Oreochromis niloticus: one gene and its partners. The protein of the gene in region 1 interacts with the protein of each later gene in a pairwise test. Links are inferred from orthologs where the notes say so. Each region holds a gene or a part of one and is shown in the gene's direction. Other genes may lie near its edges.

Region 1 (10,837 bases):
TATTAGTGATGCATTATGAGTGATAGTCATATTTATGAGTCATAAACCTGAATTAATGATCTGTGCCAATGATCTGGGTGTGCTCTCTACATTTTTTTTTAAAACTCTGTTGGTGAATGTAAAAAACAAGCAGGATTGCTATCTGCTCACTTGGAAGTAGAGAGTAAAAAAACAGCTGAACAGTGAGCTGTTCAGCTGTTTAAACTATGCAAATAATTCAGTAGAAACTTTAGTTGTTTTGAAGTGATACATGTGACACATCACATTGGCACTCTTGACATTCTTCTGATTAACAGATATGACCTGGAGTGGAAAGATTCAAAAGATTTTAAAGTGTGAAAGCTTTGTGTTTGTTTGTTTTGCTTTTTAGCTGTCAAATGCTCTTTCCATTTTTACTAATTTTCTATCTGTAATTCTGCTCTTCTTTAAATTAAGTTTTGGTGGTTTCCCAAGTGTGGGCTGCACCCCTCTGTGATGCTGTTGTTAAAGGGACCTGTTATGGTTCTTTATAGCTCCATATTTTTGTTCTCTCACCTTTCCACGTGAGCTTTGCATGATTGGCAGTTTAAAATAATCCCTGTTTATCTTATACCCGGCCTTTGTGCAGGCAATCTTCTGTCTCTTTTAAGGTCCCTGTCTTCTGATTGGCTGCCCCTCGTGACAAGAGGGATGGGTGGGTGGGGCTTCTGTGCCTGGGATAACCATATTAGGGGAAATTTGACTCTTAGTGACATCACACAGAGTGAAGAGTAGAAAAAACTGTGTGAAACAGAGCGTTTAGGCTTCAAGCTTTGGACTCACAGGGATTACTAGCACACTGACCAAGATTAATATCAACACGTTTAAGCCTGTCAATGATTTTAGGACTTCCTTAAAATATGGTCCAAATGTCTTAAAGATGTGGTACAGATACGCGTCCTGCATGTTTAAAATGAAATGTGTCCAACAGCCACATAGCGAATATTGCTGTAACAGCGAGAGCGCTCAGGTCGGCTCTTGAGTTAATCTGACTTCACAGCACGACATGTCTGCACCAAGAACCAATCGCTCCATGTGAAATGAAAGAATAAATGCCTCGCTTTCTATAATCTGCTCCCATTAGCTGTCATTACAGTGTGCTGGCTTCACAGCGACATGAAGCAGCACAGACGCCTGACCTCAGCTGTCTGCTCTGCTTAGAAGCTGTCAACCTCAGACGACAGGATGTACAGGAAGCCAGACCTTTTCTCTGTATGACTCACACTCACTCAGGCCTTCAGATTACAGAAATAAGAAAAGATTTTACAGGTTTAATTGTTATTTATAATAGAAGGCAGCTCACAGGTGCGATTAAACTGTGCCAAGATTGGTTGAATGTGTTCTTTAGGCTTCTGTCTGTCCTCAGCTCTGGTTCTTTTATCTGAGGTAGAATGAAAACCTGTGCTCTGTGCAGTTCTGCAGACCATAAATCATCAGCTGTGAACGCCTGGTCACTGAAGTTGAGTTATACAGATTTAGTTGATTTTATTAGGAGAAGGGTTTTGAACGTGAATCTTTATTTTTTCTTGTATTAATCCGTTTATCGTGATTTATGGGCTTGTTATTTTCCTCTTGTTACATAACTCGATATCCAGTCTATGTCTGGCTCTCCCTTTGGCTTTTATTTGTTTCAGGTTTATTGTTTGTGAAGCACTGGAGGAAACATTGAGCGCCTGGCAGCAACCCAGGATAACCACCCAGCTTTAATGCCTTGCTAAATGGCCTCCTGACAGGAGGAATAAAGAACTTTCTGCACTGCTCAGTGTCAGCAGGACTAAAATAAGCCGCTGATGTCACTGCCCTAATTTTAATTTTACCCTCGTCGTGATGGGAATCTTTCTTTGGTTAGTGACGTTTGGATCTGCCCTCCTCACATACTTTTGTGAAACTTCTTCTGTAGGTCGGGGGGTGCAGCCTCTCAGTAAAAGCACGAGTGTTTCTGTGTGAGAAAATAAGAACGTAATGCAGGCTGTTAGCGTCACCGTCCTCGGGGAGCCGTAAAACATCAGCCAGGCCCGCAGCAGCAGCAGCAGCAGCAGCACAACAACATCCTCTGGTGTTGATTTCCAGCAGATGGAAAAAGAGCTTTAGTTAAATCGCAGCAGACTCAGAGTTGGCCGGCCCTCCAGGCTCTGTCAGATTTCTGGGATTCAGCCCATGTGGGTTATTTTGTAGGGCAGATATTAGTACCAGTGCTTGTTATTCTGTGACTTTCAGTCTTTCTGCTGCTCTGTTCTCTGTGCAGATGAAACGGCGAATAGTCACGTCTTGCTCGACATGGGTTACGCTATCTTTCAAACCGATCTACCATCTGGGTCAGGCTTTGTGTTACAACAGACTTTAGGATGTTTTTCTGGCCGTTTTTGCAGTATAGTTTTTGCTGCTCTGTTGTATCTTAATTGCCCCTTGGGGATAAATAAAGTCTCTCTGATTCTGCTTCTGATTAATGATTATAAATAAAGCCTCATGTTTCTGTTGCAGCCTGGTAGAAAAGCACTGGACAGGCCACTGAGGGACTGGGAATAAATTGGCACTAAAAATCTTTAAAAGAATATGGAAAGCGTGGAAATTTAAACATTTAAATAACTGGAAATTTCTATCTTTTTTTAGACAAAAACTTTAATAAAAAGCTTTCAAATAAACATCCTGCAAATTTGTGATAAGAGAAACAGCAACAGCCACATTTGATCATACGGCTGCACGATCAGATGCAGCATTCAGAGCTTTTTATGAGGTCACAGAGCCAATTTGAAAATATGCACTTTAAAAATGGACTCATATGGTTTGATTATTGATTATTATTTGTAATCAAGGATACTTGTAAGTGATTTGTCCAATTAAAAAGGAATGAAGTCCATCCATGCATCCTCTTTCTTCCACTTATTTGAGTCGCAGGTGGCTGGAGCTTATCCCGTAGGGAGAGAGGCAGGATATATCCTGGACAGGCCGCCAGTCTGTCGAAGGACTAACACACGGAAACACACAGCTATTTAGAGTCACAAGTAATCATAACCGCAATGCATGTCTTTGGACTGTGAGGGGAAGCAGAGTACCCAGAGAGAAAACCTGCAGAACTCCACACAGAAATCCCCCAGCTGTCCCGAGGATTCAAACCCAGGACTTTCATGCTGTGAGGGGACAAAGTTAACCACTCTTTTGCCCAAGAGGTACAAGAAATGAAGTGAAATGAAACCAAAACCTTTCTTCAAACACTTAAAACATGTTATATCAGGAAACCTGCTTTTACAGGACCTGGCTCATTGGTGTGGTGACAATAATTGAAATTTGTCTGGAAATATCTCCTTTCCCACTTTTAATCACTGGACTGTAATCTTCCACAGTGAACCATGGCTGTCTTGATTTATTGGAAACTTAAATCTGTGTAAACTTTTAGAAACCCGTGTTGCTCCCTCACTCGTCTTCTTCACGTCGGGCAGCTGCAGATTTCTGAGTTATGAAGCGCAGCCGCTTGGTGAGGAAAGGTCGGACGTGCTTGTGGTTGCATTCAGCCTCAGCTGGTGCGGCAGATGTTTTCCTTAAATTTTCTAAAACGTTTTGACACCTGTCAGTGCCTTGGCGTGGAAAAGCAGTGGGTTGTTTCTAAAAAAATCCAAAAAGAAAAACATGTGAATGAAAATCAAGGTTTAATAATGTAACAGTTAGGTAATGGTTTTGTTCTGCTGTTTAAAGCAGGCTGTGGTGAATTTAAGATTTGTTCTGTGTGATTGGAGACGTTTGTTCCTGACATTGACCAGTAGGGGGCAGCGTTAGACGTTAAGTCTTCAGGTTCTTTCTCTGAAGTCTTACCCTAAAATTCCCCCAAGATGCGTTTGTTGAACCACAACACAAATAAATTCAGTTTACTAACAGGGACTTCCTGATGGTGCTTTCAGGTGCTTTCTGACTGTTAAAGTCAGGTTGTTTGTTTTTATGGTGTGCAGCAGTGCTTTGAAAAGGTGTGTGCAGGATAAGGTTATATAACATTGAGATCTTTGTGTTCAGGTGGTTTCAGTGAGGATTTGTTTCATTTGCTCCTAATTGTTTGCAGCTGAAAAGTTTGGTCAGCGAGCTATTTCGATATTAATCTGTAATTTAGCTCATTTATTTTGGAAAAATTATTCAAGCTTTTCATCTGAGGACCTGCTGATTTTCCCTGTTGTATTTTCTAAGTATAGTAAGATCAGACAGGATGTGTTTATTCTAAAAGTTGGCAAAGAGTTACAGCAGCTTATGACAAAACAGCTTAAACAGACTAGAAAAAGAACAGCGACAAAGCTAAATAGATCAATAGGGTAAAAATTACAAAAATGAAAAAATCTAATAAGTAAAATTTAAAAAGCTCAATAAGTGAAGATCTAAATAAAAAAATAATATAATATACTTCTTGTGTAAAGTAAAAGCGCAATACATTTGATTAATCAAAATAAAACGGAATAAAAATGTTAAACACTAAAATGTAAGTTGAAAAATTTAGATTTTAGACACACAAAATTAGACTTTTTCCCATTTAAATACATATTTATTTGTCATCTTCCCACAAATATGTTTAAAACTCAAACCATTAACCTAAAAAGACAAAAAAACAAAACAAAAACCTAAACAATTATAATTAAATGATCTCTTGAAAGAGCTATAATCTCAGTAAAACTGCTGAAGTGTGACTTAGACTTTTATAACGAGTTATCATACTCACAGGTAATTTGTTTTTTTATATTAATGCATAATCAATCTTTGGAAAACTAAGGGAAAAGTACAAAGTTGCCCTTTTGAAAGGTGTTAGAGCAGCACTGTACTGTTTTAAACTGTACGCCACCTTTAAGCTGTGCTTTAGTGTAACAGTGGAGGAGAAGGTGGGGGAAGCTTCGTGTTGTTTGCTGAGCTGCTCTGGGCTCACGGTAAAAGTGTAACTCCAGCAGACTTCACTGTTTTCTTTTCCCACACAGTCCTCCTGCCACAGTGAAGGCACAAACAGCGCCGTCATTTCCCAGACACATGAGTAAGAGCGGGGGAGTAAGTGCTGCCTTCAGGGACGTCTCGCAGACTCCCGTTTCATACATAACAACTTTATAGTGTGCTTGTGTCGCCCCAGGTTACTTTAGTTACCTAAATTTAGGTGTGATAAAATAAAATGTGGGAAACTTGAAATTAAAGTTAAAAGCAAATATAAACTTCTGTAATTAAATAAAATTATTTTGTGACCTTAGAAAATTAATCACTATAAAATTAAAATGCAGATTAAATAACATTACTTCTGGTCTGTTAATTTGAGTGATGAGGCTTTGGGGAATGTGCTTATTGAGATAATAGGCTGTCTGCATGTCTGTGAGTCCACTGCCGTCACAAACTGTGTTTCTGTTGTAATACTCATTTTAATTTTGTCCCTGATAGAGAACCTCCAGATGATAATATTTAAAAAACAAAGAAACAAAAAAAAACAAACCCAAATCTAAAACTAGGGCTGAAACTAAAAAATATTAAAGTAGAACAAAATATTTTCCAACAATGAAAAAATTAACTGAAATGAGCAAACTCACTCTGTAAACTAACTGGAGAAGAGAAAAATGAAAACTATTATAATTGGACTAAAAAATATAACAACAACAACCGTAGAGTGTTTTTTGTTTTTGTTTTGTTTTAGCACAAAGTAAAAGTCTGATATGGTGACGACCGTAGTTATAAACATTAAAGTATCGTTAATAGCATTTCATTACATCTGTGTAAATGAAAAATAAGTAAATGAAAGAAGTAGTTTGTTCCTTTTCCATGAAGAGTACGTGTTAGATGTTTAACAGCAATTTTGCAAAGTTGTATTCACGTTAATGTAATTAAAGTTATAACTTTTTAAAAATGTGTATAATTTGTGGGATTAAATACAAGACAAAACATAATTTTCGCTAAAGCCATCCTGTGCGTTTGGTTTATCCGACAGCCCTGAAGGCGCCGATAGCTGGGGGCGGGGTTTAGAAAAGCCCCGGTGTGAGTCAGAGCCGTGATAAACTGTACTGAGAGAGGCGATGATCACACAGAAGCGTTAACCTCAGGCGGTAGCGGCAGTGTGTGTCTGTGGGAGCCCTAAAAAAACATTAGAAATGTCAGCGCGGGGGTGTGACTGAACTCTGCGGGCATCCATGGTCTATTTCCCGGGGATGCAAGCCGAGGCGCGTAGCGTCAAGCCGGGCCAGCTGCTCGAGATGTTTGACTCTTCGTGGAGGGTGCGGAACATTTGGGACGGCGTGAGGCTAGAGGTGGTTGAAGACCGCAGCCCGGTGGTCCTGCACAGCTTCACCCACCTGGACCCTGACCTGCCGCTGGTGGAGGTGAGGAGGATGGGGAGGAGGAGGAGGGTGAGGAGGCAAGGAGAGGTCCGTTAGCTGATGCGGTTTGTTGTGTTGTCATGGAGGAGGGTGGATCCAAAGAGGTTTTCAGGCTTCGGTTGCGATTCTGCAGGAATAACACAACACTTGTCCTCTTAAAGAAACATTTTCTTACCGTTAAAACAGAGATTTATGATGTTTCTGCTTTATATCCTCGTATTTCAAAGCTTTATCTACTTTTATGCCCATAAAACATGTTTAAATTTGCGTTAATTAAGCTTACATTCAACATGGTGAGTCACCCAGGTGATGCAATGTGCCATAAACGCTCTAATCCTGTGTTTTTAAGCCTTGTAAACGGATTATCAGTATAAAGCTGCTGATTGGCTGCATCTTACAGTGTTAATACAGTCTCATAACAAACATAACAATACAGGGAAATCTAATATGATGCTGCGGTGCTGCTTGGCACTAGAGTACAGTTACAGGATGACTTGCTTTTTCATGTTGTTATTGAACCTTTCAGCCCTGTGGTTATCACGCCTCCCTCCTTCTGATTCTCTTTGATACTGAAACCCTCCTGTGCAGGTGTTGTTGAGTCAAACCTCACCAAATGCCATGAAATATCTGCACGTTTGATACTGAGAGTGGTCGTTTGTCATTTTGCAGAACGATGCTTTCTGCATCGGTCGCTTGTACTTCTAGGGGTTTTTCCACATGTGCGGGCATACATTGAATCAATCGTGTTATTTACAGTTTCACTAGTTGTTACAGGATGTAGTGGCCTGTTACTGCAGCAACATGATTCATTGATTGGTCAACAAAGTCACCTAACAAAGGAGCGAAGTTAAGATTTTGTTTTTGGTTCTGATCTAATTCATCAGACAAATGTAAACCCATTCAGTTAGTTGTATCATTTTTAGGAAGCTCCGCTGCAGTTCTAAATGTGGCCATGATTACTGTAATTACAGATTAATCTGTAGATCATTACCCCAGCTGTTTGAGTCATTGTTTCGTTGTTAGAATAGTTGTCATGATAAAGATTACACATGGCTTCTTTTGTCCAATCAGCAATCTGAAACAGAAATACTTTAGTGTAATTTCATAGAAAGCCGAAGAAACAAGCGGGTTTTCAGATATAGAAGCTGCAGCCAGCGAATCAGATGCTTTTACATGTTCAGGTCACGATCAAAGTGAATCTAAAAGTAAAAGCACACACGCAGCAGAATGACTTCAGTGTGTATTACATCAAAAACACCCTCCGAGGGAACCGTGAGCCTCTGAGTTCTGGGTTGGGCCTCCGTGGATCGGTCCAGGTTTAATTGAGTGGATGCTTGATTAAATTGGGGTGTAGTTGGTGACGTCATTGTCTGCATTCACTTATTATTTGTGCTCTGATATGTCTGCATCACTGGAGCCGTTAAATCTTGAGCAGCTGTTATTTTTACTGAAATGAAAACAAGAAAAACTGCATATTTCTGCCATTAAAAGATGACAGCATCTCACATTATTAATCATTTACTAATTTGTATTTCGTGTTTTCACTACATATTACTAACAAACAGACCTGTAACAGCTGCTGAAGTGTTTGTGTTGTGTGTACTGTATTTATATTTCTAGGAGGGCTAAAGAGCAGATTTAACACAGTAACGTGAACCCTCTGTTGTCTAAGTCAGCATAGGCGATAAAAACCAACCCTTCACTACCCTGGCCCTAGTTTTTAGAGGTTGGGTTGATCACTGTCTTAGACCTCAGATGGACAATCAAGAATTAGACTCTTGTTTGTGTTCCTATAGAGTTGAATTGTGATGCTAGTAGAGCTCAGATCATAGCCTGTACATGAAAGATGGACATAGCCACTAGTTGGCACTAAAAATGTTAGTTGATTGAACAAATTATTTTTATTTCATTGAAGTACAACAGCAGTTGCCTGCTGGTTCAACAATGTTAGGATGCCACTGGCTGGTGCCCCTGTAACTTCAGTCTCTGTCACGTTGCATGAGCCAGCGCGGTTCAGCAGGACTTCTGCACGGAGCTGTGTGTGACCACATTCAGTTTTTTGTTAATGAGGTTTTAAAGCCTCAGAGTGAACTTTTTCGCTGTCACCATCTTGTTGGTTTGAGATGAGATGGAACAAACTAATGAGATTGAGATATATTGTGCTTTATGGTTTTTGAGTCTGTGTGGCAGTTTAAGTTATAAAATGTATTTTAAAAGACGTAAAACTAACGATTGATACCACAAACTCATCAGGAAAGCGTTTGCTAGGGTCATAGATCAAGTGAGCAGCAGGGGTCTTTATTCATAAAGAATCTGACTAGTCAGTGCAACTAGAAAAGTCTCCCCCTGCTGGGCATTAGAGAGAATGCAGGTTAAATGCTTCACTCTTCAAACACAGGGAGAGTTATCTTATTCTTTAGTAAACTAAACCGGAACATGTTAACATGTTTGACTTTAGAAGACTGAACACACTACAAACCCAATTGCGTGAAAGTTTCAATGCTGTGTAAAATGTTATATTTATGATATGTTTTCTGTGTTCTGTTGTGAATTAAATAGAGGTTTATGGGTATGCAAATATTTTCTTTGCTCTGCAAATTTAGAGCAGTTAATAACAGGAAATCGTCCCTGCAGTATATGAAGATCACGTGTGTTTTGCTTCTCTATCACTACACTGTTTTCATATCTCTAACTCTCATGTTCCCCCCGCCTAGCTGTCCTCTTTAAACCCAGGCTCATAGATATGGTTTCATTGCTAACTATAAAAATTGCCTTTGTTCTGGATTAAATAAACGTTTTCCAGCCTTGTGCTCCATACATCTCGAACATTCGATCACATAAGGTTGAGAGGATGAGTAATCATATTTATTGGTCTTAAACGGAGCCAAGGATTGTATGGCAACGTCACCATGGAGACCATGTATTCCAGTCTGTGTACCTGGATTACATGTTCTCTTCTTTTTACTTTCCGGTGTCTCTTCGGTCAGACTGGACTGGTATCAGAGGTTCATTATTAAACCCCCCCCATTTGGCTCAGTGTGCCCCTGCTGGTCTCCCATCCCCTACTAACCTGTTCTGCTTCGTCCCTTTGCTCTAATCTAATCCTCTGCTCTAACACAATTACCTAATCCCCCTCCTGCAGAGGCTGAGGGGTTTCCTCCACAATCGCTGCCTTTATTCCCCTCCTGCTGCACAAGCCGTGAATGTTATTTGATGCTGAGGTTGTGTTGCAGCATGACGGGGTCACTGGGGCTGGTGTGGTGCTGCCGGCGGTCAGATTGAGCTATTTGTTGATCCCTCTGGCTCCATGTAACCAGCAACATCAGCCTCAATGCACTGTATCGTATAGCTGAGAGGATCGAGTGGCTTTGAAATGGAGGTGTGCCGCGAGATGAAGTTACTGCAGTGTGAGGCTAATAACAAAATGATGCTGTGCTGTGTCACGACTGGATGATTGTTTAGGGCGATTAATGGGCATTTTGGTTCTTTGTAAAATCGGTTTTGTTATAATAAAGGCATAAAAATGATGCATGCCTGCTTAAAATTGAGGTTGAAGCTGATGTGCTTGACCAAGTTACATTTATCGACCTACTTCTACAACATTTTGTATCTTTCTGCAGGAACTGACCCACTGATGTGGCAAGGTTGATGGAATTGCTTTTTTTCTACCCTATAATAAAACAGTTGCACTCATGCAGAGTTTTTTTTTCCTGGCTCAAAATGGGCCTCTGAGGGGTGACTGTGCATACAACCACAACTTGTCCACGTGTAGCTGAAGAGGATAGTCTTTGTTAACCTCAGTTAGCAGAGGGTTTCTCGTTATTTTTTGCCATTTGATTGGTACAAATGTATTGCATTAAGAGTTAAGCGGTCTCTCTGTGTAACAGTGTGGACCTTGGCTGTTTGTGCATCGTGCTTTGTTTCTTCTTTTTCTTTACCAGCTTTGTTTGACTTTATGTAACCGTGTTTTTGCTTCTTTTTTTCAACCCTGTATAATCTAATTTTCACAGGAGCCAAGAAGCCCCCTTGGCCACAGATGCAATAAGCCAAACAGTATACAACAGTGCATTCAAGCTAAAAATAGTCATAATTACCAACGATGCAGTCCGTTAGCAAAGCAGCAGGATCAGTGGGCGAACCTTTCATAAAACTCTGCTGAACAAAGACTGCTGCTTATCGAGCCCGTCTCAAGAGAAACAGTGAGCACTTCAAACTGTCAGCTCATTCAATTACAAATCAGTTTGCAGAGAACATCAGAGAACCAGCGAAGCAACTCCCAGAGCAATTGGTTCAAGGGACTCTGTTCACCTTTGTGCTTACAGGATCTGATTCGGTTTAGGAAGGAAGTAAGTGCAGGGACTTTTTCATAGATCATTCCCCTTAGTGTTTAGTGAATGTTCTCCATGTTATTGCAGCACCAGCTATCAGCATATTTAAAAAAAATCAATGTAAACATCAGCTATTAACCAAAAATATCCCCTAACTTTAGAACAAAGCAGGGAAAT
Region 2 (11,102 bases), on another chromosome or scaffold:
GTCAAAGCCACAGCCTGGGGAGATGCCCGCCTGCTGATTTGGGCAGCTTGTGTTTTGCCAGAGAGGCATTTCACGAGACAGAGAAACACTCGAATTTCTGCAAATTCTGCAAAAAAAAAAACATCAACCCCAAATGACTTTAGTTACTGCTCACATTTGTTTCGGTCTGGTATTGGTTGAGTATCACTGACTCATGACGAAGTCTTCTTTGAGTAGTGAGGTGTACGAACAGAAATGAGCAGCCTGCCTGGCCGGCTGCTGATGACACTTCTCCAGACCTACAGGAGCACACCAAGCTGGCAGGGAAAGGCTTCTACTGGCTGCTGCTGTAAAACAAGCTACCATATGCTCCCGTTTCAGCACAACCAACACATTTCAGTAACATACAGCATACAGAAATACTGTAGGAGTTTTAATGTTAGAGCTTAAATACAGAACTGCGTCTGTCAGGCATCGCGATCTGGCAGGTGTATTGTGCATTTTATCAGTATGCTGAACAAGGGGACATCAAAGCCAGTGTGCTTCACCGAGGAAAAGGCCTGTAAAGCAGCAAAAACAAAAAACACAAGACTATAAAATAAAATTTTTCTTATAAAAATTCCAGTTTCTGTCTATATTTGCTAACCATTGTTCAACAAGGTGGTAAACAATGTTACTAGCAGAGGTTCAGGCATTGCAATATTATTGGAATTCGTATTCAAGAGTCTTTATTAATAAAGATTTATAGCAGAAGCCTCCTGAGATTTAAAACTCCCCCACACTGCTGTTAACTAAATACAATAGGATCCTTCTTACAGACTGGAGCAACACATGTCTTCTCTAAACCTTCCAGCCTATTACTTACCAAACTTTAATTCAAATTGCACACCCTGCAGAGCAGCATGCAATTAGTAGCAATTTATACTCTGCTGTAATTGGTAACAGATCTGTTGTGAAATAGATCTCTGTGAGCAGCCAGAGACAAATGATGGTTTTATTGTGGAGGCGACTGGGTTGGAACAAACTGGAGTAATCTATTGCTTCCCTTTTAGTCAAGCGCTACAACTACATAAACAAGTATAATCCCTGCCCTTCAATCACTTGTGACTGCAAAAGTTTTTAATTAATGTAAGACATGATGACATGATGGAACAATTGTGGCTAAAAGTTATCCATCTTGCACTGATGACCAGATAAAGAAGTTCCTCATCACAGATATGGCAGCCTAGAGTGTTTAAAATGTCCTGTGCAATTGTAAACATCACAGAGCATGGTAAGGATCAGAGAAAGGCCTTGATCCTGGAGAGTGGAAACTGATAACATACAGGGTATGCATTCCTGGGCTGTGAGAATCCAATAGGCCGTGACTAAGAGATAAGAAAGCTATGGGGTCCTTTGCATAGTGATACTGGTGGCTATGGAAAATACAACAGTAGGTAATGGCACCTAAATAACATGAATCCTACAATACTACTAATAATTACAAGGTCAGAAAAATTGCGTTTGCAAAGCTCAAACTGAGGATTCCCAATTGACGGTTGTTGTCCATTTATTGCACCAATACTAAGTCCACTGAAAAAGTAGCAGAAGATAATGGATTGCATTCAACATACTTTTTGCTTGTGAAGCTTTTTAAATGTGTGTGCCTTAGGTAAATGCCACAAGCCACCAAGGTAACCTCAAAAATAAGGACAAAAATGTTTCCAGCACCTCCTTAGAATTTGTGTTTTCCTTCTGAAGATATTAGAGTTTGGGATTAAACCCCCATCCAGTTAGGCTACACCCAGCACCCACAGCTCTTGGGATGTCTCCAGTGGCCCCTTGCCCTGGAGCTGCTCCTCTCTCTTTTTTTCCGTCTGGTTGATATTAAACTATTAAGCACTGAAGCAACCTCCCCCATTTGGGAGGTCAGTGCTGGCAGAATCTGGAACATCTGGACAGCACGTTCAGCCAGCAATAATGCCGCCTTTGTTCCCTTGCCATATTCTCTGCTCACTAGCCAGCTTTAAAGAGCCAGAGGGCCAAGCAGCAGGCTCCTGCAGCAGGGCAGCACAGCGGCGGCTCAGCGGGGCAACCAGAGGCCTTTGGCCAATTTCTTTTACATGTTACTGTGGTTTGCAAAGCTGCAGCTGTGAGTCAAACTCTTGCGTATGCGTTTATGGAACTCAAATGGTTTTTACAGGAGCAACTGAAGTGGCAGCCACGAAAAAAAGTGCCAATTAAATATTTTTTTTTTTCCAGTCTGTAGGTGGTTGTTTTTAGCCTGGTCTTCATGGTGCTTTGCAGAAAAGACCACCAAATGACTCGATTCCGCTACCAAACCCAAGCAATTCTCCAAGGCTGCAGAGAATAAGACATTGTGCAAGTGCAACAACTCCACAGGTTGATTCTTCTGCACTTGGTTTGTGTGTGTCAAAGTGGTTAAAGCACTGGAGCTTTAGACAGAATAAACCAAGTGGCTCTATATGCAGATTATTCCATTATTAAACATGCATACATACTTTTGAGAACATACGCGCTTGACATATTTGCAGAAGATGCTGCAGTTTACCCGATACTGTGGAAAAACCAGGGGCAAGCCAACACAACACAGGCAAACATAGACTGAAAACACGTCCCATGATTGGAACTGACAATATTTCTAAAATTCACATGAAATAACGCAATGAGAATTGTGAGCTGAAACACCTCATGAGACAAAAACAAGCACCTTCTAGCTGCTTGTGTAGCTCGAGCTGTAGTTGGTGTCGAGTGGGAGGAAGCCGGAGAAATGGCGATAGTGGGCTGTAGTGGGTCCAGAGCAGCCCAACTAAATTCTACTACAGAAATGTTTCCGTTATCTCCGCCTTACACGCAACTACAGCGGGCTCAGCTGCGGCGCAATCTGCGAATAATCAGCGTTGCGTAACGGTCTTACCTTTGCTGGATTAAAGTTAGTCCTCCCTGTCCAGGTTGAAGTTTAGAGGGAAAACACAGGTAGAGGAGTGAATTCCGCAAAATTCATCCTCCTTTTCAGCATTGCCCAGTAAATCACTATCAACGAACTGCGACAAAGTCACGTTTCGAAAACAGAAAAAACAGAGACTAAGGAAACCCACCGAAACAGATGAACTGACGCTTCAATCCGCGGTCCGAAAGTTTGTGTCAGTCCTCTCTAGGCACACAGTCTTTTGCGGTCTCACCAATAAGCTGCGGAAAAAGCCCCTCTCCCCCGTTTCATTACTCCTGCTGGTAAATACATCGCATTGGAACTGGGACGCACCGCAAGGCATTGTGGACTGTTTTAAAGCTGCAATACACTGTGAGGGGGAGGATGACTTCCAGCCAACTTTTACAGATCCGCAGACTTTTTTAAAAGAAGAAGAAAGATACCACGCAGGGTTTTCTTAGATAAGGAAATACTTGGATAAGGGGGGATGTCGCCTAGGCTGTGACTGAAAATCTGCCCTTGAGAGAGCGAAAAAGCTTTGAACTACAGTTAGACTGCACCAAAAGAGTGAAAAATAGACATTTAAACACCATCGTGTTTCACTTCCAGTTCTGTTGAGACACCATAAAGCCAAGCTCACATAAAGACCTGATAAATCACCATTCTATGATCTAACTGAAAAAAGGTCAAATTGGTGCTCCGAACACTTATTTTTTTCAAACAGCCGATTTACACTGTCAAATATTCATATTAGAAATCACGTGAATGAATTTGTAGGCTGCATTTACATTCCCTCAGTTTCTTGCAAATACACAGCATGCAGATGCATTCAAACTGATGCAAATGATGAAGATGAGCCTGCAGCAGTGAGACCACGTATAAACGGAGGCTTAGTGCCCTCTTGTGACAAAACAGACCTTCCTCTTAAATCCTTAACTCTAAGGACAGAGAAGTGGTGCAATCAGTGGTTTAAGTGCTCTTACCCAACACGTCTGGTGAGGCTTACATTACTTCGTCAGAGGTTTTGTTTAAATCTATAAATGTTTATTTTACTGATGTGCATAATCGCTTTTGTAATAACCAATTTGATCTTTGCCAAATCGCTTTCAAAACTAAAGCACAGCGGAGTGGAGTGTGTCAGTAAGTTATACCTAAATCAAATACAACTTCATTAGTGTTACTGGTTACACTTGTGGTTTCCTGTTAAGACATCCCATAATGTCTGATATATAAAAAAGGTCTGTTAGATCATTTTCAACATATATTATGATCTTTAAAATATATATTTAGTCACCTTATATTCTTGGATTTTAGTACACAAGCTTTTCATTCTACATTAGATGTCTCTTCATTGGATATATCACCAGCTGCACAAGACTGCTATGATCAATGGCTAAGTGCTAAAATTTTGATTTGCACTTGGGTACTAAGGTACTTTGACTGTAGGACCAACATATAGGATGCTGATCAAAAAAGTTATGAAACACCTTTTGTTTGTGTGTGTGTGTGTGTGTGTGTGTGTGTGTGTGTGTGTGTGAAACTGTTAGACAAAAACTCCTTAGCCATATATAAAAGTGAGGTGTGAATGGGTCTTGTAGTAAAAAAAAAGTGTTTTGAGTGCTCAAATGGAGTTTTCCTCAAAATGTTCAAACAATGAGTAAAATGTGTCATAGCACAGAAGCTTCTTTAATGTGCAGTTATGTTCATAAATACTTGGAGAGTGACACATTAGTTTTTTGTAGTTTTGCCCCTGTGTGACACCACTGTAGATTCTAAATCAAACAATCGAGATGTGAGTGAAGTACAGATTTTTAGCTTAGCAAAAAAAAAAAAAAAAAAAAAAGACATTAACTATTGAAGAATTAAAGCATTTCATTTTCTGCGGCTTAGAGGTAATATGACAATTGTCCACCAAAATTACAACATTTGTATCTTTGTCCAAAAAGTTATGGACGTGATCTTATTGATGAACATGTGGCTGGAACATGCCTGTCACTGTGGAAATTACTTTTTGTCCAAGATTTGCTTTCATGTCTGCAAATAACAGTGCCAGATACGAAGGTTAACTATAGTTAGAGTGTCGTTGGTAGATAGGAGGGTTTTGAGGTTTTTTTTTTTTTGTTCAATTAACATTTGAACCGTGTATGACTTTGAAAAGAGGGAACTCTAAGAGTTCCCTCTTTTAACTACCTCCTTAGTTTTACACACAGTATATTTTTTGAGATGTAGATAAAATGCAGCATTTTCTCTGACGCTAATGTAAAATTCCAGGCACAGATTATGATAATTACTGTTATTTGCTCACAGTATAATGAATGATGTGACCTTAATACGTTTGAGCATTTGATTATAGTCTATTTCAGCTGTAAAGTTACCTTTTACCTGTACCTCTCTGACCTGGCATCTTTTAAAGTAATGAAAAAGTGATTCAAAATTGAAAAAGTGATTTAGATATTCTCACAAATGTGTAAATTGATGATCTCTAAACCCAGCAACACATGTAATTGAGAGCTCAATAGTGCCCTCTAACGTGTCTGTTGTACAATGTGAAAGCAATGCATTACGTTTTAAAAATAACGTCATATTATTTTACGGTACAAGAACGTACTATGTTTGCTGCATGTTATTTATTTAATGTTTTTAGTATAAGGTCCCAGACAGAATCCACTAAAACAACCTTTCTGATACAATGGGGAATAATCCTCATGAATAAAAGAGAAAAAACAAACAAACAAAACAAAACAAGAAACAAACAAAAACATGCTATATACTGTTCTTTCCTTTTATTCTTAAACATAAGTTTGGGTTTTGTGTCTGTCTTTTGTTACGAACGCCTGCAAATGCAGTGCGCAGGAGGAACCCTTGTGAACACGTAGGAAAACTGACAAGGGATTGCCAAATCATTTTCCTGCCTGGGAATGACGTCCCTCCTGCACATTCCAGTTATATTTAGAGCCTATAAATAGGCTCGTGGAGTGCCCCCTAGGCTTTGTTGACTGCAGGCAGCAGCAGTCAGAGCACAAGTCCTACAAATTGTGACCTCTGTGGGTATATCAATGAAATCATTAATCATTTCAATCATTAAAGTATTGATATGAACCTCTCAGTCTGATTAAAAAATAATAATTTTAAAAAACACATATTTGAATTAAAAAAACGTAACATTTCCACTAATAGTAGAATAATCAGTGCTTATATAAATCTACAGTCATAAATGAAAGCTGTGTAAAAGAGCAGCAGTGCGCACACAAATGACAAAGTACAGTGTATTACAACTTATATTGCGACACATACACACATCGAGAGATAAATGCCCCAGACCGGTTGAAATCCTGCTATGGTTTATGGGTAAAAGTACGCCTGGTATCCGCCCATATACGCGTAAAGCAGGCCAGACGGAGCAGCTAGGCCGGGGCCCTGGATCAAATGGAAAGTTCAATCGATTAATTTGTTCACTTTTTCGCATGTTGTCTCTTGCTTCTGAACCGACGACAGATCAACTTAAATGCGGGAGTTTTGGTGAGAAATAGGAAATGCAGAGATCGTGTGAAACGAGAGGAATATCAGCTTGACTCGGTCGCTACTTCGGACGCGGAACTCCACTCAGTAAAAGGTAAAACAAATGGAGGAGATTATTACATGTTGGGCCCCCCTTTCTTTTCTTTTTTTTAGTGCTCGTCGAAACATTGTATTCACTAATGTAGTTAGTCGGTCACAGTGCCCGCTATCTAAACACAAACCAACACCGCTATTGTGGTATTATTCATTTTCGGTTTTTTGAACTTAACTACGCCCAATTGTTAACCTACCGTCTGGCCCTGCAACGCAGACCTGTGAGCTAGCTTATCAATGGCGGCTTCAAAATCTGGCACCCTTCCCCTTTGAATGAATGATAACGAGTGTGTCGGGCTACACGGTGGAGCTAGTGCTCCTTTTAATGAGTTACATTTTTAAATACGTTAAGTTAGCTGATGTGGTCTCATGGTGAGTTTACTTTCGAGGCTGTTGGCGAGCTCCAATGCTAAGCTTGCTAACAGCACAGCAGCCTGGTGCTCAGAGGGTTTCACACAGCCTTTCTGGTAACCCTGTAGCCGCAAAACGGTGAATTTAAATCAAATTCCCTGTTGAGTTTTAAGTATGCTACTGATGTTTCTACCTGTTGAAGCATGATAGGTGGCCTTTCATTGAAAAGCTAAATCACGTAGCCGGCTAACCGTTCCAAACTAGCATAACGATATGTTTGCTAATAAATATCGATAAGTCTTCTTGTGTAATAGGTGATTTTTTTTTTTCTCCCGCAGTGATTTTCAGTTCAGTGGGTTTTTCCCCCCTTCTTCCTCTATTGGGAATGGCCTTGATTTCAGGAATGTCAACATAAAGGTGGATGCACTGCATGCCATTAATGGGTTCAGTTTGAGGCAAGCTACAGCCACGAGTGCCACACTCCTATCTTAAGGAAATAAGGTTTCCATCGACCTTCCACAGTATCAAAACTTTGCCACAGTTTGAAGCATCTCTTTTACTGTATTTAAAAAAAAAAAAAAAAATCTCAGTGCTTAAAACGCAAATTATATTTTCTTACTGGAGTACAAGAGCTACATTCCTTATTTTTAAATTGGTGTTTGTTGCTTGACAGCTTGCTGTATTCATTCATTTTCCACTTTCACTGACTAGTATGCTGCAAAGTGACAGCATAGACATAGAGACGTGAAAGCCATGTGGCACACACAGAGGAATCGCCATTGGCATTGGTTTTATCTGCTCAGGTTAAAGATAAGGCTGTTTCTTTACAGATAGCGTCCTCATCGGTGACATGTGTACATCACTTAGTGTGTAGATCAAATGATAGGGGACAATTTTGTAAAGAAAAGTGTTGTGAGCACAAACCAGTTTATTCGTAGTTGGGCAAATGCATAGCATTCTAGACATAGCAATAATATTTAGTCGCACTCCTCCCTGACTGCAGGCTGGGCCGAGCTGTCTGTGCTGTAGCTTCTGAAAAGACCACCAGCAACCACTATTGATGTGTTCTGCTCCACAAAGCAGACACAGCAGAGGCCCTCCCAGTTGCTTGTCAATTTTGGAACCTTAATGTAATGTCATGGATATCTGCCTGGGGTTGGCGTCTGTTGTGGAGCTGTCACTCAGAAAACACTACTGAATTTAGACATTTAATTACATATATGCATAATCTCATCTTTATGCATTTTATTTCATGTTTGATATTTCTGACAATTTTCAGAGGCAGAAATTTCAATTGATTATTTAAAGAATATTTCATAATATAGCAGCTTTTTGTGAATCCATTTGGGTTTTTTCTGTTTATACCCTCCATTTGCATACAAACGCATGCAGATTAGCCATCTATTGTGTTTGTGGCGATAGTAGCTTCTTCTACAAGCCTCTTGGTTAATACTAAAATGGGCATTTTCTCTGTGAAAAGCAAACTAAATTTGGTGTGAAATCTAATTTCCCAGTGATTCAGGTGTGTTATTAAAAGAATAGCTGAGGGCGAGTTGAGTTACTCACTGGAAGTGGTGTTCATATATTATCTTCTCATTCTGCCAGTCCTGAGTGTGCAGATTTCCAGTAAACATACGCGTTGTTGTAGAGAAATTACAAGGTGTGAATGCGATTAGATTGTAAAATTGTTTTAAGTGAAAAATGCACGAGGCATTGATTATGCGACAGATAAACTAATACTTTCCATTTGACTTTCACTGAAGATAATCATATAATGAGATTGTGGTTTTTTTTTTTTTTTTTTTTTTTTTTTTAAACTTACAGGTGAATCATGACAGAATATAAACTGGTTGTGGTGGGAGCTGGTGGCGTTGGCAAAAGCGCACTTACCATTCAGCTCATCCAGAATCACTTCGTGGATGAATATGACCCCACCATTGAGGTAAAGAAAAATATTGAATGTTTCTGTTCCTGTGTCTTTGTGTATATGTCGACATATGAAAGGGGGCAGCACAAGTTGTAAGTCCTGTTTTTATACACATATATATGTGAATATATTAAAAAAATGAGTTATAACAGGTTTTACTGGTTTAAGCTTTAAAGAGAGACACCAAACAGGTTTTCAAGAACTTTTAATGGATGTCTTCCTGCCCGAGCTCTCAAAAGGCCAATGATCAAACTAAGTCCCATCATGATTTCAATTAATTATTGATTTGTTGCTGGAGGTTTGACCATTGATATAGATTGAATAGAAGATAGCATCCAAAGGTATGGCTGTTCACTGGAGCAAAGACTAATTATTTGTGTTAGATGGGATTGAGTGTAGTCATCAGTGTAATAAAAAGCTGGAGTACGTCGACACAGTAGAAATGAGGAGCTCATTGTAATATGAGGTCTGCTGAAAAATGAAGTGCCCTACTGGTGTAATGAACAGAAAATGTCCTGTGGTGTCTTTTATTGAAATCATCTCATAACTTTAAATACCGTAATTATTAGATTAAAAATGTGATATCATGGGTAAATCACACTCAGCCAACACATTTAGAGTAACTTAAAATCTATTTAAAAATTATTAAATAAGCTATCATCTCATTGTATTATTTTGACTCTTAAACCACTAAATTCCAGGATTCTGATGTTTGTTGGACTTCTTTTGCTTCCAGGACTCTTACAGAAAGCAGGTAGTCATTGACGGAGAGACATGTCTACTGGACATCCTGGACACAGCAGGTCAGGAGGAGTACAGCGCCATGAGGGATCAATACATGAGGACAGGGGAGGGTTTCCTCTGTGTCTTTGCCATCAACAACACCAAGTCCTTTGAAGACATTCACCACTATAGGTGAGCTAGGGGAGAAAATGCCTCATGTCTTTGGACCCAGTATGTAGTAGTTTCCTTAAAACTAAGCGATAACATGCTGTGTGTCCAAGTCGCTAAAGTGTATATACAAAAACATATAATATATATACTGTAGCAACCCCCTAACTTACTGAGATACTAAAATATTTCTAAATATATGGGATGCTCTATTAAAATATAAACAAAAACTCTAAAATTTAATTTATTTGACAAAAAAAATCACTGTAGGAATTACAACTACAGCAGAGTATGTGTGTATCAGTCTTCTGTCAGGCGGTGAGCTTAAGTCATTAATGTTCTTCTTTCTCAAAACTACAGCGACACTTACAGTTTATAGAAAGTCATTCTGTACACTACAAGTGTTTTGTTTGTTCAGTGTGGTTTGTTTGAACAGTGTTTTCTAAGATTGTATTACATAGCCAGTGGAGTACTACACAAGTAAAATGAAACTAAAACTGCAATCCTGTTCTGACTGTGACTGTGTAGAGAACAGATTAAGCGGGTGAAGGACTCTGAGGACGTCCCCATGGTGCTGGTGGGGAACAAGTGTGACCTCCCGTCCCGGACAGTGGACACAAAGCAGGCTCAGGACTTAGCACGTAGCTACGGCATTCCCTTTATTGAGACCTCAGCCAAAACCAGACAGGTGAGACTCCCAACCACAGACTGGGCGTTGTCCTCAAGACTCAAAGCTCTAATTTGTCAACTCTGTCACTAAATTGTTGTGGGATTGCACTGGAGGTTTGGAGAGCATGTTAAATGGTGTGGAGGTGCATGTGGTCTCAGGGTTATTGGTCATTTCGTCATTTCCATAAATGCCCCTTTCTTATCAAATTTTGTTTTTTCAGAAAAGGTAAGCTGATGGTAATTTTGTGAGGTGTTAACACGGCTGGATGATTTTTGGGAAATGGATCACAAGAATGTGATTGAATCATGAGGGATTGTTGATTTGTGTTGCTATCTCTGTTGGTCTTTTTTTTTTTTTTTTTTTTTTTTTTTTAAATGATGATCTTGCTTGAAATTGTCTCAGGTAACACGTTGTGCATCATTAAATCTTCTTTGGTTAATTTAAATTTAATGGGTGACAATGTAATCATTGCATGCTGCTTTGTCACGGATATGTGAATTAAATCATTATTAGGCCCACCTGCAAAGGATCCTGCTTTATAAATAATCAGCAAATCGGTGTCAAGGACTCTGCATGAAAGGGCAAAGTGTCGGAAATTAATCAGAGGGTTAATGATTCTGCTTACTGGTTGCTGTGTCTGGGGTTTTGGAAGAGTTGCTGTGATATCAGTGGTGTGTGTTGTGGGCATGGCTTTAGGTAGCAGACTGGCTATTGGAGTGATCTGTAAGCGCATTTTAGTGTTT
Region 3 (10,401 bases), on another chromosome or scaffold:
AGGAGGAAGACAGGTAAACACTGGACATCATGGAGGAAAAGCTTTTTGCTCACACTGTATACCCTTCATTGTGCTGAATTTTCCATCCACCTCGCTCATTAAGAATTTGTTGTTCCAGACCTCCACTCAGAGGCTTCCTAATGGATGGTGACTTCTATGTGGCAGCTTCTTTGGCCACAACGCTAACCAAAGTGGCTTTGCGCTATGTTGCTCTTGTTCAAGATAAAAAGAAGCAAAATGTAAGTTATTCTTCCTTCACTTCAATAAAAGCACTTTTAATAATTTGCCCTACCTTTGGTTTCTCTGACCCCTGCTGTCTTGCTGCCCCCCTCTCGCAGTCTTTTGTTGCAGAGGCCATGCTGATCATGGTCACTGTGCTGCACCTGGGTAAGTCCTCTCTGCCCAAGAAGCCAATTACAGACGACGATGTGGATCGCATCTCACTGTGCCTGAAGGTCCTGTCAGAGTGTTCGCCACTTATGAATGACATTTTCAACAAGGAGTGTCGCAGATCCCTGTCACACATGCTGGCTGTCAGGCTGGAGGAAGAGAAGCTGTCACAGAAGGTAATGAAAGTTGACTAAACTCAATACCAACCTCGTTACACAGAAAATGAGCAAATTTTTGGTGCCAAATTTAATACGAAACCTGTTATATGTTTATAAGCCAACTTTTGTTTTCAAGAGCCTGCACCCTGATAGGTAGTAATGTGATCCTCTAAGGAGGAGTGTAGTAATATCACACTCCTAGATGATCATTTAAACCTGTTGTGTATATACATAAGACTTTTGGGACCAATGGAAAACTTTTTTTTTTGTTATAGTGCTCCAGTTTCTCTTGACAGCAGCATTGTCTCTGTCTTTGCAGTTTCTCTTAGTTCTGCACAATAACATCAGCTTTTATTCTCTTTCTGTTGAACAACCGTTTCTTATGTCTTTTTTGTAACTTGCTATACTGTGTTATTTTCACTATACTAGACTACATTATAGATACTTTTGTTGTTGTTGTTGTTCCATTGGGGTTGTTATTTCCTCCAAAAATAACCACGTGTTTCTTCTTCTGACTACAGAAAGAGTCTGAGAAACGCAATGTAACGGTCCAGGCCGACGATCCAATATCCTTCATGCAGCTCACGGCCAAAAATGAGATGACTTCCAAGGAGGACCAGTTCCAGCTCAGCCTGCTGGCTGCTATGGGCAACACTCAGAGGAAGGAGGCCGCCGATCCTCTGGCATCGAAACTCAACAAGGTGCACCATACTTAACCCCTAAAAGCCTTTCCATAAAAGGAAACTGGAAATTAATTTGACAGATGAATGTTGGAGTACTTAGGAGATAATAGTGCTTTTGAACAGTAAAAGAGTGAATGGGAATGATTATTGCTGTTTGAGTGCATTTCAAGTTTACGGCTTAGTCTAACTTATTTACAGTTCATATTATTTCATATTATTGGCAACACAGCAGCACCTGCTGCTGAAGCCCTTGTTGTGCACATGCTTTGCTGTTAATAGGTTGTTAAAAGATAATAAACAAGTGTTTGGGGAGTGTTTGTACTTGGTTGTTTATTAATCATTAAACGAATGCATTTTGTCCAACTTAGGTGACCCAGCTGACGGGCTTCTCAGATCCAGTCTATGCTGAAGCCTACGTTCATGTCAACCAGTATGACATTGTGTTGGATGTGCTGGTGGTCAACCAGACCAGTGATACTCTTCAGAACTGCACACTTGAGCTGGCTACTTTAGGTTAGTGTAGTTTTTTTCAGCCTCGGCGAAAAGATGTTTTTTCTCTCATTTAAGCCGCACACATTTGGTTTCTACTTTAATGTAATTCAACTTTCTGTCCTGCAGGCGATCTTAAGTTGGTTGAGAAGCCTTCACCTCTAACTCTGGCCCCTCATGATTTTGCTAACATCAAGGCCAATGTGAAGGTGGCATCTACTGAGAATGGCATTATATTTGGAAACATCGGTAAAAGAATTTTATGTCTATTTTTAGCGTCACATCTCAAGTCACACCATTTTTTTTCTATATGCATTTTTTTTTTTTTTTAAATTAATTGTGGGGATGTCTGGATTCTTCTTTTCAGTCTACGATGTGTCAGGAGCTGCTAGCGACAGAAACTGCGTTGTCCTCAGCGACATCCATATTGACATCATGGACTACATCCAGCCAGCCTCCTGCACTGATGCAGAATTCAGACAGATGTGGGCAGAGTTTGAGTGGGAAAACAAGGTAAACTTAAGGGGTTAAACGGGTTAAAACACATTCCTGGAATCTGACTGGTTTTGCAAAAAGTTGGACTTGTTAAAAGTTTTTTTTGTTTTTGTTTTTTTTAAATAGATTTAGTTGATGTACATTCAACTAACACTGAGCACTGATTGTCCTTTCTTTATTGTAGGTGACAGTGAACACCAACATCACTGATCTGAACGAGTATCTCCAGCATATCCTCAAGTCCACCAACATGAAGTGTTTGACTCCTGAAAAGGTTGGTATGAGAACATTATGTAAACCGCAGACTAAGGAAAGTAAACAAGCTTTTAAATCTTGGCAGCTTTCCCAAATACAAATAACAAAGGTAATTAAAACTTTTGGCACCAGTGCACATCGGAAAGAATCATTAGTGGCCGTATAGCAGGATATTTTCTTGTGCTGACTATATAAAGAATATATGTAAACATAAGACATGCCAGTGCTTCCTTATAAGATGAATGTGCAGATACTGTGATGTTGTTTGTTGTTCTTAACCGACGTTCTTCTCTTATAAACAAGGCTCTGTCTGGCTTCTGTGGCTTCATGGCGGCCAACCTTTATGCTCGTTCTATCTTTGGAGAAGATGCCTTGGCTAATGTCAGCATTGAGAAGCCTCTCCACCTGGGGCCCGATGCACCTGTCAATGGACACATACGCATTAGAGCTAAAAGTCAGGTAGGTCACAGCTGCCACACCGTGAACCCTTAAGAATCTGAGAGGTAAAGGCTGGGTGGACTTTATTTCCCCTCAGTCAAGCAGTACATCCATTTGTAAAAATATCACATGACTTATTTGATTTGAAATAACTAATCAGTTCTGCAAGTATTTGCATAGTGACACCGTTTTTGCCTCTCTAAAGTACCCCAAGTGTGGACTTTCATCCTTAAATGCATGCATGTAACGAAAAATTTGCATTTATTAATCTCCAAATGCAAATGGATTTCACTGTATTTCAGATATGCTAATGTGTAGCATGTGTCGCAGCTAACCCTCCTTCCTTTGTTCCACAGGGGATGGCCCTGAGTCTGGGTGACAAGATCAACCTTTCCCAAAAAAAGGCAAATGTCTGAAACAGCTGCTGTTCTGTGTCACCTAACTTACTGTTTGATCATCGTCATAGCAGATATGAACTCTTATATGGTCGGTTACTTCTGTGCTTTATATTTTTTAACATCACTTCTTTCTGAAAACTACATCTCGGCAATGTGCTTCCCCTGTCCCGTTTCATTTTCAATAAATGTATTGAAATAATGTCCAAAACATGCTCGGTCGTGTTTTCATTGAGTTAAGAGCTCGTTTTTCTTATTAACACCTCATTATTTTTAATTGGTGTTTCTTTTCTTTTTTTTTCTTTTCAAAATAGGGCAATTTATAAAAGAAACTTAAGACAGTATATGCAAAAGGAAGGGAATTCAAGTTCAATTCAATAAGAAAAGGGTAAAAAAAAAAAAAAAAAAAAAAAGAATCCTCTAGTACCAGCCACAACCATTAAGGTTCATATTGAATTTGATATTATTAAAGCCATAAGATGGAAAAACATCCAAACTAAACCACTGATCATTAAATAAGTGTTTGTACCCTTTTTGTAGGGTCAGTATAAGGCTTCCTGGGGTGACTTTTGATGAGATTTGGCGTTTATAAATAAAACTGAATTGAATTGAATTTGGAGATGGCGGAGCAGTGGTTAGTAATAGCTTTGAATCTGCTGGCTGGAGCCTTTCATTGTAAAGTGTCTAGATTCTAGATTGGGCATAGGTGTGAGTGTCTGCTTGTCCCTGTGTTATCACTGTGACAGATTAGCAACCTGTGCAGGGTGCACCCCACCCACTATGACAGCTGGGAGCATCTCCAGCATGACGGTAACCCAAAAATGTAGTTGGATTGTATGCCTTCTTTTGGAAAGTATGGAAGGTTGTGCTGTACCTGCCTTAATGTGCATGGCAGTAGATGTTTAGTAATTATCTTTGAAGAAGCTGTTACAATTACCTAAAGGACGTTGTGCCCCAAAGTGAAGAGAGTGTCTAGCTTGTGATCGTAGCTCTGGGATCTAATTAGAATTCCTCAGATTCCTTCTGTAATATCTCCCACAGTGGGGTAACTGATTGGAATTTGTGCCGCCAGTACCTCCAAACTGAAGACATCACCTTGAAAATGTCCGTCTACATGCATAACCTGGGCAAGAACATAAATTCTTTTAACCTCAGGTAATATATTGCCAAGATTTGAACTGAGCTCTCTGAGCCATCTGCAAGTTTCACTGTCAGCGTGATAATGAGATGGAGATAGATTAGTGCTGGCACAGGCCTCCATATTCCACTCGCCCTCCAGTTTATTATTTATGAGTAAAGGGATATTTCTGGGAGTAGGCCAGATTAAAGGGTCACCACCCCAGTCATACATTTACAGTATCTGTAAAAATCTCCCTCCAGGGGTTTTAGATAAAGGCTGAAAGGTGGCTTTGAGGTCAGACCTTCAACTGTGAAAATAAACAGCCAACTCCAACTGCCGTGTGCACTGCACAGACTGTCTGGTTCGGGCATAGTTATTATGAGAATCACAGCTACACTTTCTAACACAAGGCATGACTTTGGCATTGTGCTTTTGGGTGATTTTCTTGCTTTGCCACGTTAATATGTAGACACAAAGTGCTCATCTTAAACAAAGGATCACTGTCACAATTCCTCTGGGTGATATAATATTTTGTGTTGTATTTTAAAATCACTTGGGTACGACTGAATCTTTGACAGCACTCACTGCTCGTACGAAGCATCCATGTGAACATCACAAACCATTCCCAGGGAGTTTGACGCCCCGCGTTTTCTCTTTTTGGACACCGGGTGGCGCCATGGGTCCCAAAGCCATGTGGTGTTTTATGTTTTGTTTTTGTTTGTTTTTTTAAATGCAGTTAAATATTGGATTTATCACGACGTGACGTGCTGACAACACAAGTCGGGACCTTTGCGCAATGAAATAAAAGGTTGTAACTTAGATTGTAACTGGTATGAGTCAATTTCAACAAGGGACAAAACAAAAAAAAAAACAAAACAAACACACAAATCACAGTCCACCACTTTCAATTTCCACCTGCGTGATGAGTTATGACGTCGCATATGAAGTGCACAGATACGCGCATTTTATCGTAAATTGCGGAGCAGCAGCAGGCGTGTGTGCAGCGTGCAGAAATACTCCTGCAAACATCACTTTTACTGCATTTCCTCCCTTTGCTCTATCTGTCCACAAAACCTATTTTCCCCCACTGTGCTGGGAAGTTGTTTTTTTTTTTTTTTTTTTTTTTTAAATAATTGAATATTAAAATAAGTGTTTATTTTCTAACTAAATCTATCTAAACTTGGATGTAGCGCACAGCACAAACAAAATGTTTAAATCCCACTAAGCTGTGGAAATATTGTAGATAACATATCAAGAAATGTCACCTATTTTTATTTTTTTTATTCATTGTACTGAAAAGTGAAGAAACTAGTAACTTCCAGCATGTTTAAACCATATTTACGTTGCGACGACGACGGCCGCGGGGCGCGTTATCACTGCGTAATTGGCTGTAATTACAGCGAGCAGACAGCGCAGAGCCATTTGAGGACAGGAATGTGACTGCAGGGTGCATGATATTAGTGTCAGGGTAGAGCTGCAGAGTGGGTTGAGGTCTACTTGCGTCGGTGTGTGTGTGTGCAGGAGGGTGTTGAAGCAGTTTGCAGACTGCCTCTAGAAACAGCCCCTAGCGTCAGACATCAGTATTAGCCTGGCTGATTACTCTTAACTATCGGATCAGCATCTTGAACGGTGCAGTGTTGGCGAGCCCGAAACGCGGTCAGGCGTATGGACAGGCGGTGGTAGCTCCGATCGGGATCCCTCTTCGTTTACATCCCTACAACTAAATAAAAAAGAAAGAGGGGGCTGCTGCACAGGCGAGACTGTTTCGGCACGTAGCTGGCCTCTGTATCTGCGTTCCGGTGCCTCCAACTACGAGGGCCTCTTCAGTTTACAGGGGGAAAAGTGGGTGTTTGCTGCTTCACTGGTGTTTCGGCAGCGGCAGCGGCGGCGGTGTCCTCGATGGCAGGCTGGAAGGACGGCTCGGTGCAGGAGAAGTATCGCCTGGTTGTGGTCGGAGGAGGTGGCGTCGGGAAATCAGCCCTGACTATCCAGTTTATTCAGGTCAGTAGCGGTAAACCTTGCAGTTGAAGCGAATGTAAGCCTCGCTCTGATTTCCACGCTCGCCCGAAAAAACACGGCCAAACAAGGAGGGAGAGGCCGGACACGGGTATCCGTCCGTAAACGGACACCGGGGTCTGTTTTTCTTCACTACTTTGCCGAGGCCTGCGACTGTCGGACGGATGGGGAGGTTTTAGTGCGAGATATGGAGAATTAAACGTCTGTCACTTTAACGCGACGATTTCCGAGAGGACCACTTCCACTTTGCAGTTTGTACAGCCGCTAGTCATAAGAGAAAGGAAAGTGGGTCTTTGGAGCTTAAAGAGTTGTCCTATTTTCTTTTACCTAAGTTTCCCTGCAAAGTAAAGCAGCGGATTTAGAGTTCGTGCTAAGTTGTTAAAAGTCCTGTGATTTTTTTTTTGAGAGGGGTTGCAGTGGCCCACCAAGCCACACAATGTAATACTTCAAATAGAAGGATGTAAAAGCTGTACAAAGTTGGTACAGTGGTATCTCTCTGTGTCACTCTCAAGAGGAAAAAGTGCGTTTGAGTTCTTTTTAAGTGCCACCAAAACGGATCCTCCAGATCTCACTGGAAATATGTGAACTAGACAGAGAAAATCCGTTCAGGTTGGGTGACTGTAAAATAAGCAGCAGCTGCACAAAATGTCCATTGAGAGATGATTAACTTTTGTGCTCTGATGCAGAGTCTCACCAAGTCTGCTGGTTAACCTCATTTCGAGCTGAAACCAAAGGCAAGCAAGCGCACTAATATAGATAATCTATAGAAATGAAAGGTTGCTTCCACCACTCTTCATCAGTTTTACAGCAGCCTGCTTGAAGAAAGCTCGCTGGGTGTCACATATAAAAGGCATGTAAACAGTTTACCTCCCTGTAATGCCTGGTTGCATTCCAGCACAGTGCAGACACTGCTCTGACCTTCCAGGCTTTCATAATCGCCATTTAGGAGAGGGCCCAAACACACACACACACACACACACACACACACACACACACACACTGTATGAGAGAGATGACATTCTTTGCCCTTTGCCTTGTGTGTGTGTGTGTGTGTGTGCCCACCATGGTGTCACTGTGTTACTGGTGCTTGCTCTGGATTGCAGGGGACAAGACAGGCAGGCAGCTGCGTGTCTCCACACTGACAGACAATAGTTGGGGGGGTGGGTTGTGAAGCTTGTGAGCAAGTGTGTGTTGGGTGGGTGGGGGAGAGTTGTATCCTAATGAGGGTTCAAAAAGCTCATTAACTGCATACCAAGTAGGAAGGGATCAGATAGACCTGAACTGGGGGGAAACACTTGAGATGTTATGGTAACACCACTGGAGTAACGCTGATAATGTCATTGTGAATTTTTCTCATTTGTAGTTTTGCTTGTCATATGTAATAATCATTTAAAACGTGCTTCATACATGCACGAGGTGGACCTGGATTTAGCAATAAAGCTTTCTCTAAGGTCTCACAGACTCATTTTCAAATCAGCTAACTGACTGCTGACTGAGGTTTTTGCTTGGATGTCCCCTTTTATATGTATCTTGTACTCGGCAGCTCCCTCAGTTAATTAGCTCGTGTGTTTTTCTTACTGCCGGCTTGCATGTCTTGTGCCGTGATGGTGATAGAAATAGTAGGTGGAGAAGTGACAAACTCTTCAGAGGTTTCTAGAAGTCGCCTGCTGTGCTGTGTTGGGGTGGACCTGACAGCTGGTTGTGAAGTCGAGGCGATACTCAGAACTATGCTGAGTGTTGTGAGTTTGAGGGTGTGTGTGTGTGTGTGTGTGTGTGTGTGTGTGGTGGTGGTGGAGGGGTCGGAGGTGTCTGAGTCAGCCTGGATGGGTTAATGGTCACGGACCATGTGGAATTTGGCCCTTTGGCAAAGGAAGTCCCTCTACTGCTGCTCTTAGGACCTCCTAGTTCTGTATGGAAAAACATGACCTGCTTCCTGAATCACTGGAATTCTGTGCGTGTGTGTGTGTGTGTGTGTTAGTTGTCACTTTGACTAGTACTAATTTTAGTTTTATGTGTTTTGCCAAAAACATAAAATACTCGATGAAGTGACTGCAAGTGTCTCAAGTCTCAATATATCCCAAATACCCTTCTTTGGTTAGATTTCTCTTTAGCAAACGCTCTTTTTCCACTAATAGATTTTTCCTACATTGCTCATTAATGTGCTTTTAATCACCTTTATGGTATGAAATATTGCTCATAGCTTTAGCGTCAGCTGCTGGTGAAACAGGTTAACGTCATTTATTATCTTGTCAGTAACCCTCTGAGGTCAGAGTCGTCATCAGTGACAACTCCAACCCTAACCCTAACTCTGACCCACATCCTGTACTATCAGAACTTTTTGTTCTACGGTTTCAAAAAACAATTGTTCCCTCAAGTCTTTGGAATTGGGGGACAAAAAAAAAGTTTGGATTTCTTCAGAAAATTGGGGTGGGTTATGTTTAGGATTGAGGGTCATCACAGATTAAGACTTTGACTAGAAGATCTACTTCTAATAAACCAGTAAAAATGAGATATTTAAGGTATTTTGTTATCTACTTCCATTGGATTCATATATTTAGATCATCCTCTTGTGGCATCACATTTTAGAATTTTGCTTGTGTGCTGAAATGTTTATCGTTGTTGTGTTGGGGTGGCTGTGGGTGACCACAAAGCACCAGCACGGTAGGCATTTTAAAAAGCACTTCGTCAATGTGGCTGATCATCTGATGCCAGCTTTTTTTATCTATATTGCGTGAGCACATTTTAATCACTTGCTAGTCCTGAGGTGTGTTAGCTAATGTTGATCTTGAGGTTCCTGAGCAGCTAAAATAAAAGACTTTTTGGGACTTTTTTGGGAGTCAGAACATGAAAGATGTCGCTAGCAATAACAAAGAGTGGCAGGTCCCTGGCTGCTGGCCACCCTAATGCCAAGCATTCGACTCAAGTTGAAATAGCGTTAGGATGACATAACATTGAGTCATCTGACAAAAGTTGTTGAGCACTGCGTGTTGTTTAATGTGACGTCTGCGAGGCAGGAAGCATCCCAAGTAAGGGAAAAGATGACTCACGTTAGCCATGTGAGTACTGCATGTGGGTTGCGTCTGTGCCTTTTTTTAAAAAAATCCCTGAAATCATGGTATATTAGAAACCCTTCTCAATTTACTCTGGGTTACCAGAGAAGCCGCCAGCATGAGACAGCTCTCGAGATGTTGAGGTGAAGCGTGGTGTTGCTTTCTCACATGCTTGCTAATATTAGCATGGTGGCAGCCCCTGGCCATGGAGATTCATAAATGAGAGCGAAACATCCTGACTGATCAAGTCCAGACAGATTAGCTGAGGATTTTTGTAGACCTCAGCTGGATTTACAGCTAAAGCACATGTGTTCTCCCAGTTTCTCTAATACACAGCCTCATTACTTGCATCTCTCATAACTTCTAAAATGGATTTGATTAGTCAGATATGAAATCTTTCAGGGGACATGTTGCCAAAAGTAGCAGCTCAGTAGAAAAAAACAGAAAGGTTGGATTATAAGGGCAGCAGCCCTGGTTGAGCATGTGGAGGCAGGATATGGCTGTAATAGTAGTGTTTGAGTAAAAATGTGGTGGGTGCCGTTTCAGAAACAGCCACAGGTGTCTGGGCAATGGCTTTGCAACAATGTTTTGGTGAATGTGCGTTTGATGTCTAGTTTTGAGAGATTGTTTTATGTATTTCCACACAGTGCATGCTCTCAGCCCATTTTTAAATACGGGCGGTTTGTAGCTTTTTGTCTGGCTTAGTCATATGCCAAATACCATACCAATGAGTGCAAACAGCTCCATTCACTGCATATTCTGACTGGTGTTTTTTCTTTTATAAGGAAGTTTATGTCTTGTCGTTATGTCTCGTGCAAGCTGAGGATTATATTTGCTTTCAGATGCAGACACGGACACCTGCAGACACCAGACGAGTAGTTATTTCTGTCTGCTTTTTCATAGACTGCTTGA

The links.
Region 2: the proteins of ral guanine nucleotide dissociation stimulator (region 1) and kras interact in a two-hybrid assay, tested with the Homo sapiens proteins (3 studies listed by BioGRID and IntAct). The link is inferred for Oreochromis niloticus from reciprocal best matches to the Homo sapiens genes RALGDS and KRAS.
Region 3: the proteins of ral guanine nucleotide dissociation stimulator (region 1) and rras2 interact in a two-hybrid assay, tested with the Homo sapiens proteins (2 studies listed by BioGRID and IntAct). The link is inferred for Oreochromis niloticus from reciprocal best matches to the Homo sapiens genes RALGDS and RRAS2.

Annotation. Positions count from the first base shown.
Region 1 is NC_031977.2:33,215,942-33,226,778, reverse strand, and holds the start of ral guanine nucleotide dissociation stimulator, read left to right. Parts: upstream 1-5,921; 5' UTR 5,922-6,146; coding exon 6,147-6,335; intron 6,336-10,837. UniProt on the Homo sapiens protein: Functions as a guanine nucleotide exchange factor (GEF) activating either RalA or RalB GTPases and plays an important role in intracellular transport. Interacts and acts as an effector molecule for R-Ras, H-Ras, K-Ras, and Rap.
Region 2 is NC_031972.2:57,150,324-57,161,425, reverse strand, and holds the start of kras (GTPase KRas), read left to right. Parts: upstream 1-6,251; 5' UTR 6,252-6,521; intron 6,522-7,209; exon of another isoform or gene 7,210-7,372; intron 7,373-8,695; 5' UTR 8,696-8,702; coding exon 8,703-8,813; intron 8,814-9,534; coding exon 9,535-9,713; intron 9,714-10,217; coding exon 10,218-10,377; intron 10,378-11,102. UniProt on the Homo sapiens protein: Ras proteins bind GDP/GTP and possess intrinsic GTPase activity. Plays an important role in the regulation of cell proliferation.
Region 3 is NC_031965.2:19,877,496-19,887,896, forward strand, and holds the start of rras2 (ras-related protein R-Ras2), read left to right. Parts: upstream 1-5,861; 5' UTR 5,862-6,322; coding exon 6,323-6,424; intron 6,425-10,401. Other genes in the region: copb1 (coatomer subunit beta), read left to right, coding at 1-13, 119-239, 339-566, 1,070-1,249, 1,600-1,744, 1,850-1,969, 2,088-2,233, 2,400-2,489 and 2 more. UniProt on the Homo sapiens protein: GTP-binding protein with GTPase activity, involved in the regulation of MAPK signaling pathway and thereby controlling multiple cellular processes. Regulates craniofacial development.